4 linked regions of the Macaca mulatta genome follow. The protein of the gene in region 3 interacts with the protein of the main gene of each other region in a pairwise test. Links are inferred from orthologs where the notes say so. Each region holds a gene or a part of one and is shown on either strand. Other genes may lie near its edges.

What was found.
Region 1: the proteins of RANBP9 (region 3) and OPRM1 interact in binary tests that used the Homo sapiens proteins (3 or more experiments, as listed by UniProt). The link is inferred for Macaca mulatta from reciprocal best matches to the Homo sapiens genes RANBP9 and OPRM1.
Region 2: the proteins of RANBP9 (region 3) and MKLN1 interact in a two-hybrid assay, tested with the Homo sapiens proteins (2 studies listed by BioGRID). The link is inferred for Macaca mulatta from reciprocal best matches to the Homo sapiens genes RANBP9 and MKLN1.
Region 4: the proteins of RANBP9 (region 3) and PPP1CA interact in a two-hybrid assay, tested with the Homo sapiens proteins (2 studies listed by BioGRID and IntAct). The link is inferred for Macaca mulatta from reciprocal best matches to the Homo sapiens genes RANBP9 and PPP1CA.

The regions. Positions count from the first base shown.
Region 1 is NC_133409.1:72,845,173-72,849,375, reverse strand, and holds the start of OPRM1 (mu-type opioid receptor), read right to left. Parts: upstream 2,874-4,203; 5' UTR 2,681-2,873; coding exon 2,391-2,680; intron 1-2,390. UniProt on the Homo sapiens protein: Receptor for endogenous opioids such as beta-endorphin and endomorphin. Receptor for natural and synthetic opioids including morphine, heroin, DAMGO, fentanyl, etorphine, buprenorphin and methadone.
Region 2 is NC_133408.1:171,098,189-171,101,770, reverse strand, and holds part of MKLN1 (muskelin), read right to left. Parts: intron 3,207-3,582; coding exon 3,097-3,206; intron 1,221-3,096; coding exon 1,028-1,220; intron 1-1,027. UniProt on the Homo sapiens protein: Component of the CTLH E3 ubiquitin-protein ligase complex that selectively accepts ubiquitin from UBE2H and mediates ubiquitination and subsequent proteasomal degradation of the transcription factor HBP1.
Region 3 is NC_133409.1:169,400,862-169,405,144, reverse strand, and holds the start of RANBP9 (ran-binding protein 9), read right to left. Parts: upstream 2,832-4,283; 5' UTR 2,502-2,831; coding exon 1,922-2,501; intron 1-1,921. UniProt on the Homo sapiens protein: May act as scaffolding protein, and as adapter protein to couple membrane receptors to intracellular signaling pathways. Acts as a mediator of cell spreading and actin cytoskeleton rearrangement.
Region 4 is NC_133419.1:6,982,110-6,986,170, forward strand, and holds the start of PPP1CA (serine/threonine-protein phosphatase PP1-alpha catalytic subunit), read left to right. Parts: upstream 1-1,261; 5' UTR 1,262-1,337; coding exon 1,338-1,392; intron 1,393-1,918; coding exon 1,919-2,050; intron 2,051-2,199; coding exon 2,200-2,430; intron 2,431-3,457; coding exon 3,458-3,562; intron 3,563-3,906; coding exon 3,907-4,061. UniProt on the Homo sapiens protein: Protein phosphatase that associates with over 200 regulatory proteins to form highly specific holoenzymes which dephosphorylate hundreds of biological targets.

The sequences.
Region 1 (4,203 bases), about 97 Mb from region 3:
CTGTCACTAACTTGCCCATTTTTCTGTTTCACAGTCACATTCCAAGAGGGTTACCTAACCCTGCAATTAAAACCCACCCTGCCACAGGTGGGTGTTTGGGATGACCTTTCAAATAGTACTGCATTTTGTAAGAACTTTCAGTACCAAGGATAAAGCATAATATCATGTTCTCAGTAAGATGCACTGTCACCATGTTTCTCCAAGTCAACAAGAGGCCAGAGGTAATGCCTTTAAAACCAACTCACCCAACCAACAACATCTACACTGGAATAATAAGACCAATCTGCTTATTTCACAGCCAGTTGCCACTCTATTGGCCCTCTCTGTATTGCAAAGCATAAACTGAAGTGTAGAAAAATGAGGAAGGAAAATACCAAGAAGCAATAAAAAGGAATAAAATATTATGTTTCAGATGGCAGGACTCCTAGATGCTTTGGTAATTTTTGTTTCATGCTTTTTTTCCTTCAGGATTTCATACAGAATTTGGGGATAATTTGTTATTCCCAAGTTATTATTGCTGTATCAACCCACTCTGTCAACCTAATAGTCAAATTAACTCAAATCATGATTTGCCAGCACAATAAACATAAAATTATGTTAGCTAGGAGAGATTCAGTGGCACTGAATTAATGAAATATCTGTTTTTGGAGAAAATCATTTACATTTTCTGTGCCTCAGTTTATTTACTTAGCATAGATAATCTCTAGAGTCCCTTCTAGCTTGATTAGTGTATGATTTTATGAATTTCTTTTAGAAAAAATGAGAAACATATTTTCTCTTCACAAAGTAGGCCTTTAATTATAACTTTTATTGTCATAACTGCAGAATGAAACTTGGCTTTTAATCTTTAATGTGAATCATTGTATTGAATTACTTAAAGTAAATGTTTTTAAAAATAAATTATTCCATTGATCTTCTTACATTTTTCCTTCTGTTGTTAGCCTTCCTCTCAGTAGATGGTGCTCTTTTCTTACAGACGATACTTATCTTATTCCTCATCAAAAGATCAGGGAAATTAGCTTTACTCTTTGAAAATCATTAATTAAAGAAATCAGACAGATGAGTAGAAAGAATTGCTTATAAGCAATTTGCAGCACCTTGGTAATGAAACGATACTGGAGAGAGCAATTGTTAAATGATTTAAGAGCTCCACTGAAACCTGCAATACTTGCTGAATAGGTGAAACAAATATTGTAACTAAATATGAAAATGCCTTGTTACCTACATACACATACCCCTGGTTAAAAAAGAAAAAACCCTCGATTTAGGAGCTATTTTAAAGTCTTAAAATATTTATATTATTTAACAAAAACAGATATATGGCATTTCACATTCACATATAGTATTTGAATATATATTTGAATATACACATCAACAGCAACACAATCAATACCAATCTCAATCAATATTGAGAGCTTCCACACTCTGCCAAATATACCTGGAACATCTGGGTAAACAGAAAGTGGACCACAACTCTTTTGAATTAATTTTGCTTGATAAGAACACTTTGTTTAGAGCACCCATCAAAACTTCCTGTGTAAGCATTTCTGCAGTCTCTACTGTGGAATTATGATGCTTTTGGTCACTCCTAATTAGCTCCAACTTGTGGAGGCATTGAAATACAGCCATGTCCTGCAGTTTTCCTGAACCAACCTACTCATTCCAGATGCAGTTTGTGACTTAGGCGATCTGAAGCTACCAATGGCAAACTGGTCTAGGCAACACAGCTGTCATGTTTGTTATAACAGGAGGAAAACTACCATGGAGAGACGCTAGGGAAACTTCCTCTACCTAGTGTTGCCTCAGGATGAAAGGAAGATATGGGTAAGGGCTGCTATGGTAGGGGAGAAGAAAGGGTGGGGTTGTAGTACAGGGAAGTACTAAACCAGTAGGAGTAGGAAAGTTGCCAAGGTCCATCTCAAAACAACTGAGAAGACTTCTCCCCCCTCCCCCCCACACACACCACAGCCCCAACCAAATTTGAGAAAGCTAACTAGAATTTCTCACCCATTATTCACAACTTACTCTTTCCATAGCTCCTGCAGAGGGACTGAGTGTAGGACTCTGCCAAGAGCCCTCTTTGCTCAGTATAAGGAAGAGCTCTAAGTCTACCCTATAACTTCCCCCCCACCCCTAGACCTTTGTAGCTTTAACCAAAGCAACTTCTCTGCTCCTGAAATTTTGGATTACTTCTTTATCAATTGAAAAATTAGAAAAGTAGATTTTCTCACAGAAATAGCAATCACTGTCCGTGGTAGCCTCCAGAGTTCCCCCAGTTTACCTCCCCTCTTTCATCCTCCCGCCCAACAGTGAGCCTTGGGAGTTAGGTGTCTCTTTGGACTCCCTTGAGCCGCTGAACCCTCCGCTCGGAGCCCTGGTGCTTTCCTTACCTGACAATCACATACATGACCAGGAAGTTTCCGAAGAGCCCCACCACGCACACGATGGAGTAGAGGGCCATGATGGTGATGGCCGTGATCATGGAGGGACTGCCGGTCGGAGGGCACAGGCTGTCTCTCCCGCCCAGGTCGGTGCGGTTCGGACCGCATGGGTCGGACAGGTTGCCATCTAAGTGGGACAAGTTGACCCAGGAACCGGGGCTGGGTGCTGGGGAGCAACTTGAGTGCGCCAAGGCATCAGTGCAATTGCTGGCGTTCGTGGGGACAGCGCTGCTGTCCATGGTACTGACGGCCGGCCGGGCACCGCGGTGCGAGGTAGCCAGGAGCACCGGGACTTTTCGGTTCCAAGCGCCTCAGTGACTTCCTTTCGCCGCTGCCACAGCTCCTGCTATTTCTTACAGAAACCAGTTCTGGCTGACACAGAGAGGAGCGTCAGGCGGAGGGGACCGAGCTGAGCATCTGACATTCTCCTCTGCCTGTAGCCCCCTCCCACCTTAGTAGTTCACAGCGGCTCATCCCCAGCCACGCACCGCTGCGGGAGGGGAGGGAGGGCCATGCGGGATTCGGAGGCTGGAAGGGAGGGAGGAGAGAAAAGGGGTGGATTTTGCGCAAAGCGATCCAAGGAGTCGGTCTCTTCACTGGGCACTCTTCTGTGCAAACACATCTAAGGGAGGGAGATGGAGAGAAGGGTTGGGGAGAGAGATAGAGTTAGTTTTTGGCAGCAGTGAAAAATAAGAAAGGGGGCTAACATCACTCCATTTTCCAGCGCCTTTTTCTCCTTAAAATCTGGCAGGGAATACACTGGCTTGACGAAACCCTAACAACCCTAAAACCCCAATGCTCCTCCATCCCTATTGCCAATTTTGATCATTTGGGAATAGGGGACACACAATCTTGTTTTGCAGTCCTTGTTGCCTCAGTTGCCAACATCTAAGAAAATGTAATAATGTTTCTCCAATTTTCTTCCCTACAAACCTGTTGGGAACAACAGCGATCCTCTATTTTCTGAAAAAGAAATAAGAAAGAAATAAACTTTTGTGTAGAAAACCTGTTCCTCATTTTCCCCAATTTCTCTTAGGGTGAATCTCTGTTTACCTCTGATTTTGTCTCAGTGAGGAAGAGGCATAAGAAGTGGTTACAGAAATCAGAAGGTTGTGGCATCCAGTAAAGTCAACTAAAGATAATGTTGATCTTTCACATCTTAAATCTCATAGACCTATTAGGAATGATTTGTCCTTGTTATCTGAAGACTTCCTCGATAGACATATGCTTCTGAGAAGAAGGTTGTTAAAACCAAACAAAATTTGATTGCCTGTTTTCTAGTGTAAAAATTCTAGGAAAAGTCACATAACGTATGGAAATAGAGTGGCCTACAACAAGGTCCTTGAGAAACATGGATACGTTTTTGAATTTTATACCTTACTTCTAAATCCACGAGTGCTTCTATTTTAGAAATAAATTTGTAGTTACAAAGAGTAAGTTCTTGGCCTTTTTTCCCCTAAAGTTAACACCAATTCTGAAGTGATTCTCATTTCTGTGCATGTATATTTTTGTGCATGTATATATCTTTTAACCATAAACATTGAAAATACATGTCCCCAGTTGGTCTTGAAAAATTAACTGCACTCTCAGGGAGCAGGGAGGGTAGATCTTGAAAGGAACATTTAATTCCAATATTATTTTTAGGTATTTATCTTAGAAGCAGATAACTCATAGGTAAACTCTATTAATCATAGGCTATTTGCCAATGTTCAGTATTATTTTTATCCTCTTACATTAAAGGGTATAATTTATACAATAAAAT
Region 2 (3,582 bases), on a different chromosome or scaffold from region 3:
ATACTCCAAAATATATTCAATTTCAAACATACCAATCATTTATTTGCAAGTATCATCATCAATCAAGTAAGCAATAACAATGTACAAGGCTTAGAAGCAGATTTGTCATATTTTAAAAAGTGGAGCTCAAAGCAATTCATTTTAAGTTAACTTTACATTTACAAACTCAAAGAAGGCAGTGCAGGTCTGGTTTTTTTTTAGCTACCCAATATCTAATAAATATGAATACCTAGTAAAAGATGATAACTGTGATAAAATGAAAATGAGAGCAAATCACTGAAAAATGTATTATTTCTTATTTCTTCCTATAAAAGATGCACCAAATTCAATTCCACAAGTTTTGTATTGTACAACTATTCTGTTCTTTGTCACTATGAAAGTTACTGTGGAAGATTTTTAAAAAATGTCATACTATAAGCAACAGAGTCCCTTTTTAGTTTAAATAACAAAACGCATCAGACCTTAAATATCCAAATGAGCGTTACCCTCCAAAGTCAATACCCTGGGAGATAATATAGATGTTCAACTATTCACATTTCTTTCAAAGCCAGATTACAGGTCACACAAGAAAATCGGCAATTATATAGTATTTACACCATAAGGAAGTTATTTTCAATACAAATCTCCTTGTTCCTTATATATAATTGCTTATTAATAACACTTTTTATTATCTAGCCCCCTCTTCTCAAAATACACTGTTAATAAATATTGGCTATCAATATCAAAATATTTCTGATACAGTTTAATGCTAGTTGATGCTATCATTTGTAAGTGCACGGTTTCCCAAGATGCCAACTTAAATTTATATGTGAGTTCAAGTACATTTCATTTTTTAAAGTCTCATTACATCATGGATCTATTTTACATGAAAGAAGTCCCTAATCCAAAGAGCTAACAATCTTTAACTGAGTAAAAAAAAAAACAAGAAAAAAAATTAGAGTAATAACTGGCATAAGCCTATATTCTTTTCGTGAAAGTTTCCCGTATGTACTTGAATTTACCCTAATAACCAATCAAAGTTTCATACCATTTACAGCTTTTTCAATCAACTCTTCACAAGCATCAAAATCACCCTTCAACACCAGCTTGTCATGAATATCTGTTAACATGGGATGTTCCAGTGCAATCTTGGTTTTCTTTTGCAGTGACTCAAAAGCTTCTGTATAGTTGTGTTGTCTGAAGTGTTTTAGGCAAAGGCGAATAGCTTCCTGTTCACGGTACTACTAGAACACAGAGTAAGTATGGAAAGAAGAGATTTGGTTAGATGATACTGTAGGAAACAGTTAACAACAGTAAAAATAACTAATCTACACTGAGCATTTATTAACACTATGTCCCAAGCAGTGTACTAACCTGATTCATTAGGTATCATTATTTGGCTCTTTTAACTAGCAAAACTAAAACTTGGCCTGTTCCAAACTTGTCCAAGGTTACAAAGTATGTAGCCAAAAGTTATTAAACCAAACCTAATTCCAGAGTCTCAACTTTGAAGAAAGGGAGAACACCTATTTCTTAAACTCCACTTAATATTGTAAAAATTATAACTCCATAGTGTCTATTAATCCCATTACAATGCAGGTACTGAGAGCACAAAAAACATGAAATAATTCACATACAATTATATTATGCTTTCTATTTTTGGTTTTTAAGCTATTACTTGAATGACAAGTATCAAGTATACAGATACTTCAAATTTACAAACATGTGTTATGACTCAAAAATCATCAAAAACAGACTAAATTTAATTTTTTTTTTTTTTTTTTGAGACAGGGTATTGCTCTCTCTCCCAGGCTGGAGTGCAGTGGCGTAATCTCAGCTCACTGCAACCTCTGCCTCCTGGGTTCAAGCAATTCTCCTGCCTCAGCCTCCTAAGCAGCTGAGCTTACAGACACATGCCACCATGCCCAGCTAATTTTTGTATTTTTAGTAGAGACGGGGTTTCACCATGTTGGTCAGGATGGTCTCGAACTCCTGACCTCAGGCAATCCACTACCTCGGTCTCCCAAAGTGCTGGGATTACAGGTGAGAACCACTGTGCCCGGCCCAATTTAATTGTTTTCTAAGCCTGCACTACCTCATCTATTAAGCAGCTATAAAGTAGACATCTCAATTAACTGGAATCCAAAAAGCAGGCACTTAATTTATTAAAAATTTCCCCTAATAGGACAGATGCCAAAAATACAATCTTATAAAAAGGATTTTTTTTAAAAAATCTCAACTTCAGGAGTATGTTCTGGGACTACGTCAAATTTCCTAACTATACCACTATTCAAACAAACAGATGACATGCCAATCAAACAACATGATAATCAAACAACAATGTTGCATGATAATCAAACAACAATGATTTACTTATAGGCATTACCCTTTAATGAGGCAAGAAAATAAAATGTATTTAGGAAGATGTATAAGATCTGAAACACAAATCAGTTGATAGCTGACTTCTTAACTAATAAAAGGTCATTAAACATCTAATCCTTACACATTATAATTAACTATTAATAACTTAATTATAATTAATTAACTATAACTTACTCTTGGCCTCTAAAAAAGATTTATCGTAACTACCATGTAACAATATATATTACAGTTATATTAAACAGCAATATTTTTTAACCCTGTTGACTACTTTAGGAGTCTAAATCACATCGACATCTTAAATTTTCCATCAGACTGCAAAACTATCCCACTAAAAACTATGTTTTAAGTATTTATATGAATACAAGTAAAAAAAACAAAATTCAGAGTCAAATGGGTATAATATAAAAGCAGACTGTGGAGCCAAACTGCCTGAGTTCATACACTGGCTCAAGCACTTTACAGTTGTGTGATCCTAGGCAAACTATTTAATCTCTCTGTGCTTCATTTCTTCATCTATAAACTAATGGGGATAGTAAGTGCACCTGTCTCATAGAGTGATAATGACAAAGTGAGTTATTAGGATCGCTTAAAAGCTGGCAGACTGGAAGTACCTAATAAAACGTTAGCTAACTGTTATTATTATTTTGAATATTTTAAATTATTCTCAATGAATAAGAGATTGACATATTTCTCCTTTTATAGCCATTAAAGTCAGGATTTAAAATACAGTCCTACCTTGCTATACCAGTTGAGACAAGGTTGTACTACATCAGGATCATCAATGCCACTAAGTTCAACATACCAGATGCTAAAGTTAAAGCTGGGTCCCCAGGACAAGAGTGGAACTTTAAGAAGAAGAAACAAAAAGAAGAAGAAAAATATTAACACAGTTCAAATAAAACTTTAGCAAAGTAAAAGCACTATTCAACCTTATAAGGATTCATTGAACAAATTTTCTGGGCATCTTTTATATGACTAGCATGGTGCTAAGGCTACAACAGTAAAACGAAACAGATGACCCATGCCAACATAAGATTTCCTTAGTTAATAAAAACACTGTAAGATAAATTAAAAATGTTCATATGTCTACCCCCAAATAAATGCCACCAGAATTAGATGATTTAACAGGTAAATTTTACCAAATGTACAATCAGCAAAAAATTACTTCAGAATTTAACCTACATCAGAACACTGAAAGAGACTGAAAGTTCAATTATTTAT
Region 3 (4,283 bases):
TTAGTATTACACAACAGAAAGTAATAAAGAGGCCAAGAATAAAAACAATTGAGACAGCAGTGTCAGGAATGTAGCAGTGTCAGAAATATTTCAAACTCCAACTAATTTCACATAAACATATATTTTTCTCTGACCTAAATCATGAATCTTATGTAAAAGACTAAAACTAATCAAGACACCTTACAGTACTAAATAAACAGTAATCACGAATCGTAGACATCACGGAAATTCAGAGCTGTAAATTTCCCTACCAATCTTCCAGCTCAACTTACACATCACTCAGAGGAAGAAACTGAGGCCCAGTCTTGTAAAATATCCACAACCACAAACGACTGCAGAACTCAGGAAATCTAGGATTCTTTGTTCATCTATACTGGCTCTGATTTTATGAGCAAATTACTGTCAACCATAAATTTAAAATTATAAAATTCTGTCACATCTAACAATAGCTTTCTGGCAGCCAGATCAGAAGTAAACACTTCATAACATAGCACCGTTCACACAAATTAAAACATAAAAGTAGAAATATTTCACAAGGAAATTAACAAAATGTCCTAACTTAAGATAAAACAAAGATTTGATATTGTGAATGAAATGTTTAGACGTTTAGATTAAGGAAGATAACACTTAGAAGTACTTCTTTGGATGTATGCAAGAATTAAAAAATGTTCAAGGCCTATTTTTGTGCGTGATTCTTTGCAGCCAAATCATTTGGTAGATTTGTATTGCCATTCGCCTTTCTGGTTAAATAGTAACTTACTTATCAAGCTTCTTCTTAAATTTTAGTCCCATATAAGAATTTAACCACAAGGTTGTTTATCCCCTCTACATACATGTCACTAGGATCTGAGCAGACCCCTTTGTAGCCAATCAAAGTGAGGCTGCCGTGAATGTAAAAAGCTCCTGCTTTAGATTTGGGGCCTAAAACCCTGGATTTGTTTCCAGACAGACTGATACGTTAGATTGATTTTTTTTTTTCTTCCACACAAGTAAACTTGATACACGCTATTAAATTGGGCCACATTTCAATAGTTCCCATAGCAATTCATAATTTTATATACAACTGATTTGCTTCAAGCTTTGTTTTAACCTAGGAGAGGTAGGTGAGGAAGGAAGGGGGCAAGCACAAACCTAAGGTTGTTGTTTTTAACTGCAGGTGGAAAACATAAGCCAATTTTCTTCAAAATACTAAGCTGCATTTTGTTCCATCTTCGTTTTCAACAAGGCTTCATATAACATCAACACCTAAGGACCTGTATAGAGTACTTCCAATCGGGAGAGGTAGGTTTCTGCTCCCCTAAGAAAAATGGTGCTCCTGGGGTTCCCTTCTCTTACCCTCCCGGTTGCTTTCACTAAGATATACTGATGGCAAACTTGGGTCCCTTGTCCTTTAGTCCCCCTAGACAATCTCTGGCCTAATTTTGATTACTCCTCCCCCTGCGTATCCCTGCTCTCTCTTAATTAGAAATCATACCTCAGAATCGTGCCTCTCTTCCCTCCTTGTAAGAGGAGAACGCCTGACCCACCACCTGGAGAACAATGTAACCCAACTCCGAGTCCATGGATTCCTCTACCCAAGCCCCAAGATTTATCTCCCAGGGAAATCAGAAAGCCAGTTCTGTCCTGTCATCCCGGATTCCCTCAAGGTGTCCTGCTCCTGGCCTAAGATTACCAGCTCCTTCCTACCCTGGAGCATTCTACTCACCCTCCTCTTCCAAGAATCTCGCCCCTCACCCTCGGATCCTTCACCGCGACCCCCGCGCCCACCCGGAGCAGCACAACAAGCGGCGAGTGGCCTCCGAGGGCAGAGCCCGCGAGGGCGGGGGTCGGGGGAGGTCGGGGGCGGGTCGAGAGCGGCGCAGCGGTGGCCGGCCACGTCGGGTCAGTGCCCCACTCCCACGGCAGGACACAAGCCCAGTACCTTTGTAGTGCACCCGCAGGTTGTTCTGAGAGAGGCCGATGTAGCTGAACTTGTCCTTCGGGCTCCAGGACCGAGGCAGCGGCGTCTCCTGCTCGTCCACGGCTGGGTAGAGGCGCTTCAGCCGCCGCTGCAGCTCCTTCTCCTGCTCGTTCAGGGTCGAGTCCCCGTGCGGGAAGGGGGCCGCGGCGCTGCTGCCCGCCACCAGAGCTGGGGCCGGGGCGCCTCCGGCCGGGCCGGGGCCCGCGGCGAGGCCCGGAGGCGCTGGGGGCCCGCTGGCGGGGGCGGCCGCTGAGGCAGGTGGCGGCGGGGGCGGCGGCGGGGGCGGCGGGGCCGCGGTGGCCGGGGGCGGCGGCGGCGGGGGGTGGAGGAGCAGGGCGGCCGCCGCGGCCCCTAAGCCGTCGCCGCCCGCGCCGCCGCCGGGCGAGCCGGCTGGAGAGGAGCCGGCGCTGACGGCCGGGGGCGCCGGCAGGACGACTCCGGACACTGGAGCCAAGGCCGCCGGCGGTGGCGGCGACAACTGCTGCTGCTGTTGTTGCTGCTGCTGCTGCGGCGGCGGCGGCGGCGGCGGCTGCCCGGACATCCCGGCCGCGACTCAGCCTGCGGCCACCTCCACCTCTTCTCTCCTTCCTCCTCTGCTTCCCGGGGGCGCTGTCGCTGCGGCCGCCGGCACCAGGCGCCCAGTCCGCCCGCCCCGGAAGCAGGCGGCGGGCCGCGCGCCCAGGGAGACCGCGGCGGTTGAGGGGCTCGGAGACGCGGGAGTGGGCGGCGGGCCCGGGAGGCCGGGAGAGAACGTTGGCCGGAGCGCGGGCGCGCGGCCCGGGGACGAGGTGCCGAGGGCGGGGGCGACGCGGTAGCGCGGGAGGGGAAGGCGCGCTGGCGGCCGCCGCGGCCGCTGCTCTCGCGGCTGTTTCCCGGCGGGCGGGCCCGGCCGGCGCGAGACGCTGCGCGCGGGCGGTGCTAGGCGAGGGGGCGGGACGGAGGCGCGAGAGAGGCGCGAGCTGCGCGAGGGGCGGGCCGCGGGGCTCCCGGCTGCACGCCGCGAGGCGCCCTCCCGGACCCGCCAGTCGCTCGTGGGCAGGATCGCTGGGCTCCCGGCGCCGCAGGTCCCTTCGGAGATGTCCGCCTCCTCCCGCTAGGCGGCCGCCGTCTCCCCCCTCGCCGGCGAATCCCCTCCCACTTGACTTCTTTTTGTTGTCGTCGCCCCACCTCCCCACCGTAGGGCTCCTCCGAGCCGAGACGCCGCTTCTCGCCCAGGCGAGAGTAATCGAGCCCCGCTGGGGCCGCCGCGAGCCCGGGCCCCGGGTCGCTCTAGGACCCGTCGGCTCGGGGCGTGCGGAGCGGCTGAGGCTCCCCGCGCACTGCCGCTAGCTCTCTTCTCAGTCCGGTTCCCGTTTGCCGCCTCCCTCCAAAGAGGAACGCACTGCCTTTGGTACTTCACAGTGTTTAATTTCGTAACATTGACCATATGGGCAGGGGAAACCACTTCTGAAGGCAGTCTCCCAGTTAAAATAGTGGCTATTTCATTAATTAATTTTACGAGGACTCACAGTGAACTTAGTGGTAGAAGGTGTCATTAATAAAAACCGGCATATCTTCAAATACCAGGAGCAGGCACTGTATGAATACACAATTATAGTGTGTGTTTAGGAAGGGCTTCTAGAGACGTCAGAACATTTTATAGACTCGTTAATTTTCATAACTGTTCTTAGGTAACAGAAAATTATGCCCATTTTTAAAACAAGGAAATATTTACTGAGGTCAGCAGAGTCAAAAATAGGACTTCCTACTTTGCAATTCCCAATAGAGTGCTTCGTCGACTAATTTGGCACAACTTGCCAAGTGTTGCTCTCTGACCCATCATAACATTACTACTTTGTTTTCACCACTTCCCTTTGTTTAGCGTATCCCTCCCTAGCTGGCAAAATCGGGCTTTGCATGTGTAAATTATATGATGTAAATTCTGATATTTTGTTTGCTTCCAAAGATACGATGGTAATCATTTGGTCAAATAAATGTTTTGCCGAAGAGAAAATTATTTCGTTTTGAAGAAGGTAGGCCAAAGGTGATTTAATTTAAGGCCAACATTATCTGGCCAGAACAAATAACAGTCATTCGGCCTAATTTCTCCCTCAGTTACCCAGACAACTAGATGTTCTGTTGTACTTTATTATTATTATTATTGTTTTTGAGAGAGAGTCTCGCTCTGTTGTCCAGGCTGGAGTGCAGTGGCGTGGTCTCAGCTCACTACAACCTCCGCCTCCCGGGTTCAAGCGATTCTCCCGCCTCAGCCTCCCAAGTAGCTGGGCCTACAGGCCTGTGCTCACACCTGGCTAATTTTTGTACTTTTAGTGGAGACGGGGTT
Region 4 (4,061 bases), on a different chromosome or scaffold from region 3:
CAACTCAGGGTTCCAACAAGAATTAAGGTTAATTTATCGTCTGCTCCTTTGAGACAGAGTCTCACACTGTCACCTCGGCTAGGGGGTGCAATGGGCCTTGGCCCACTGCAACCTCCGCCTCCCAGGTTCAAGTGATTCTCCTGCCTCAGCCTCCCCAATAGCTGAGATTACAGGCGGCTGCCATCATGCCCAGCTAACTTTTTGTATTTTTAGAGAGATGGGGTTTCACCATGTTGGCCAGGCTGGTCTTGAACTCCTGACCTCAAACGATCCTCCCACCTCAGCCTCCCAAAGCGCTGGAATTACAGGCGTGAGCCACTGCACCCAGCCATGTCTGCTCATATAGTAATTCTTTTTACGTGCACACCCTGCAATATTACTGTGCTACTCAAAAGCTAATTATGGGGCCAGGCTTGTTGGCTCACGCCTGTAACCCCCCCAGGACTTTGGGAGGTCGAGGCCAGTGGATCACTTGAGGTTAGGAGTTCAAGACCAGCCGGGCCAATATGGCGAAACCCCACCTCTGCTAAACACACAAAAACCAGGCGCAGTGGCGCGCGCCTGCAATCCCAGCTACTCCAGAGGCTGAGGCAGGAGAACCCCTTGAACCTGGGAAGCGAATGTTGCAGTGAGCCAAAGTCGCGCCACTGCACTCCAGCTTAGGCGACAGAGCAAAACTCTGTCTCAAAAAAAATAAATAAATAAAAGCTAATTATGGGACTTGTAAGAAAATATTAATTTATCATGCCCCAAGGACCAAAGTGCGCTGGAAGTTCAGCCGTAGCTGTCTTTGAGTGTGGTCAGCCGCCTGGGGGCCACGGAGACCCACGAAAAAGGGGGTCGTACGTGAATGCGAGGTCCAGGTCTTGCACCAGTCTGTTCATATCTCTTGAGCCTCAGTTTCCTTTCCTGCACTTCGAGCAGTTAACCCTCAGTGCCTAGCAGCCGGTTATTAATATATTCACAACACCCTCCACCCAGGGCAGGGGTGGGAACGGCTGTTCTGCTTTTGAAAGAGAAAAACAACTTCCACAGTTCTTCCGGCCCCACATCCTCTGAACCGGGCTGGGCGCCTCCTCTGGGGCGTAACCAGTTGGACGCGCCCCCGACAGACCCCGCCGCCAAGGCCCCGCCCCCCAGGCCGCGGCGCTTCACGTCCAGCGGGGGCGCTAGAGCGCGGGGGACCGGGCGGGGCGGGCCCGGGAGGCCCGGAGGCGGGGCCGCGGGCCGGGGGCGGACTGGGGCGGGCGGAAGGAGAGCCAGGCCGGAAGGAGGCTGCCGGAGGGCGGGAGGCAGGAGCGGGCCCGGAGCTGCTGGGCTGGAGCGGCGGCGCCGCCATGTCCGATAGCGAGAAGCTCAACCTTGACTCGATCATCGGGCGCCTGCTAGAAGGTTGGTCGCGGCGGGGGAGGCCTGCGTCCGCCGCTCCCGGGCCCCCTGCCGGGCCCGGAAGTGGCGCGCGGGCGGGCCCCCGGGGCCAGCTTAGACTGGGCGGGGACGGGCCGCGAGGTTCGGTGGCCGCAGCCGCCCCCCCGCGGACGCGCCTGAGAGGTCCTGGGCCCGCTCCGACGCGCGGAGCAGCCCCCTCTCCCGGGCCGGGGGCGCACGGGTTGCCTGGGTTCTTGAGGCGAGGGAGAAACCCGGGAAGCCCGGTCCAGGAAGGGGTCCTGCGCTGTGAGGTGTTTGGGTGGCAGCCCCCTGCGCACGACAGTCGCCTCCCGAGGCGCTGAGGGTAGTTGGGGGCTTCCCTTGGGAGGCTTGAGGCCGAGGTCCCGGGAGGCTCAGCAGCAACAGCTGCCTGCGGGCAAGGAGCGGCCGAGGAGGCCTAGGCGCCCCCGGAGGTATCCATGGGGCCACCCGTGTCGCCCACCCTCCACCTGTCAGGGTCCCGGGTCTTGACACCCCATTGCGCCCCCAGTGCAGGGCTCGCGGCCTGGCAAGAATGTACAGCTGACAGAGAACGAGATCCGCGGCCTGTGCCTGAAATCCCGGGAGATTTTCCTGAGCCAGCCCATTCTTCTGGAGCTGGAGGCACCCCTCAAGATCTGCGGTGAGCCCCCCGACCCAGGTCCCCTTGCTTTCCTGAAAGTGGCACTGGCCCCCACAGAGTTCCTGGAGTCCTCCTCCCTTGAGCCCAGTCCTGGTCCTGGGTTCAGGTCTAGACCCTGCATCTAGCTTACCCGATTCCCTGGGTCACAGGTGATATACACGGCCAGTACTATGACCTTCTGCGACTATTTGAGTATGGCGGTTTCCCTCCGGAGAGCAACTACCTCTTTCTGGGGGACTATGTGGACAGGGGCAAGCAGTCCTTGGAGACCATCTGCCTGCTGCTGGCCTATAAGATCAAGTACCCCGAGAACTTCTTCCTGCTCCGTGGGAACCACGAGTGCGCCAGCATCAACCGCATCTACGGTTTCTACGATGAGTGTGAGTGGTCTGAGCGTCTGGGGCTGCCCGGGTCCTGAACCACACTCCTTGTCATTCAGTGGGACCTTCACATTGGCCTGATATCTGACAGACACTTGCTAGACTGTGCACTCCACGAAGGCAGGGCCCAGGTCCGTTCTTGTGCCTGCCCTGCCCCTCCTGGCATGGGGTCTGGGGAATGGTTGCTGACTGAAGGACTGTCCGTATTCTAGTGCTTTCCCCCAGGGCCCTGCCTGGTGACGTTCCCTCTACATTTGCTACTAAGCATTTAGGATGTTTGCAGATGAGCTCTGCTGTCCAGAAGCTGAGATAAACCAGACCTGTACTTGGCCCGGCTCGTGGGCCGGGGCGTGCAAGGAGTGCCAACCCTGAGGCTGGTCCAGATTGGAACTCAGTTTCCAGTGGACTCGGGTGCTTTAGAATTACTTCTGGTGGGAGGCTGAGGCGGGAAGATCACTTGGACTCAGAAGCTCCAAGTTACAGTGAGCTATGATCTTGCCACTGCACTCCAGCCTGGGTGACTGAACAAGACCCTGTTTCTTTACTTTTTTGAGACGGAGTTTCGCTCTTGTTGCCCAGGCTGGAGTGCAGTGGTGTGATCTCAGTTCACTACAACCTCCATCTCCCGGGTTCAAGCGATTCTCCTGCCTCAGCCTCCCGAGTAGCTGGGATTACAGGCATGCGACACCACGCCTGGCTAATTTTTTTGTATTTTAGTAGAGACAGGGTTTCTCCATGTTGGTCAGGCTGGTCTTGAACTTCTGACCTCAGGTGATCTGCCTGCTTCAGCCTCCCAAAGTGCTGGGATTACAGGTGTGAGCCACCATGCCCTGCCCAGATCCTGTTTGTTTAAATTACAAATTAAAATAAAAAGTAACTAGAATTACTCCTGGAAGGCTGACAGGCGGCAGGGGTGGGGGTGGTTTGCATTGGTGCCTGACTCTCTCCCATCTGCGGCTGAATAGCCCAGAGACCCCGGCTAAGGGTGGAGCAGGCAGACCCCTCACAGCTACCTCCCTCTGGGCAGGCAAGAGACGCTACAACATCAAACTGTGGAAAACGTTCACTGACTGCTTCAACTGCCTGCCCATTGCGGCCATAGTGGACGAAAAGATCTTTTGCTGCCACGGAGGTGAGCTCTCCTTAGTTGTCATCTGGGAAGTCACTCCTTTCAGGAAGTGTCTCCCATACCCCCCTGTGCTGGGCTGCACTCACTTCCTTGATGTGCATCCTACATGGGGCGGGCTTGTCTCCTTTCTCCCAGGAGCTCTGTGCTCCGGAGGCCAGGGGCGCCTTTGTGCCTGTTTGGGAACTTGAAAAAGCTGAGGGGAAGGGGATGGCTTCTGCCTGCCTAGGCACCCAGGAGACCAGTGGAGGGACCAGGAGGGTGGTGGAAAAGGTGAGGCTCACTGGCCAAGGCTTCCTGGAGGAAGGATGTCCTTGTTTGAGGAAGTGACCTTCCTTCTGGCCCTCCAGGCCTCTCCCCGGACCTGCAGTCCATGGAGCAGATTCGGCGGATCATGCGGCCCACAGACGTGCCTGACCAGGGCCTGCTGTGTGACCTGCTGTGGTCTGACCCTGACAAGGACGTGCAGGGCTGGGGCGAGAACGACCGTGGCGTCTCTTTTACC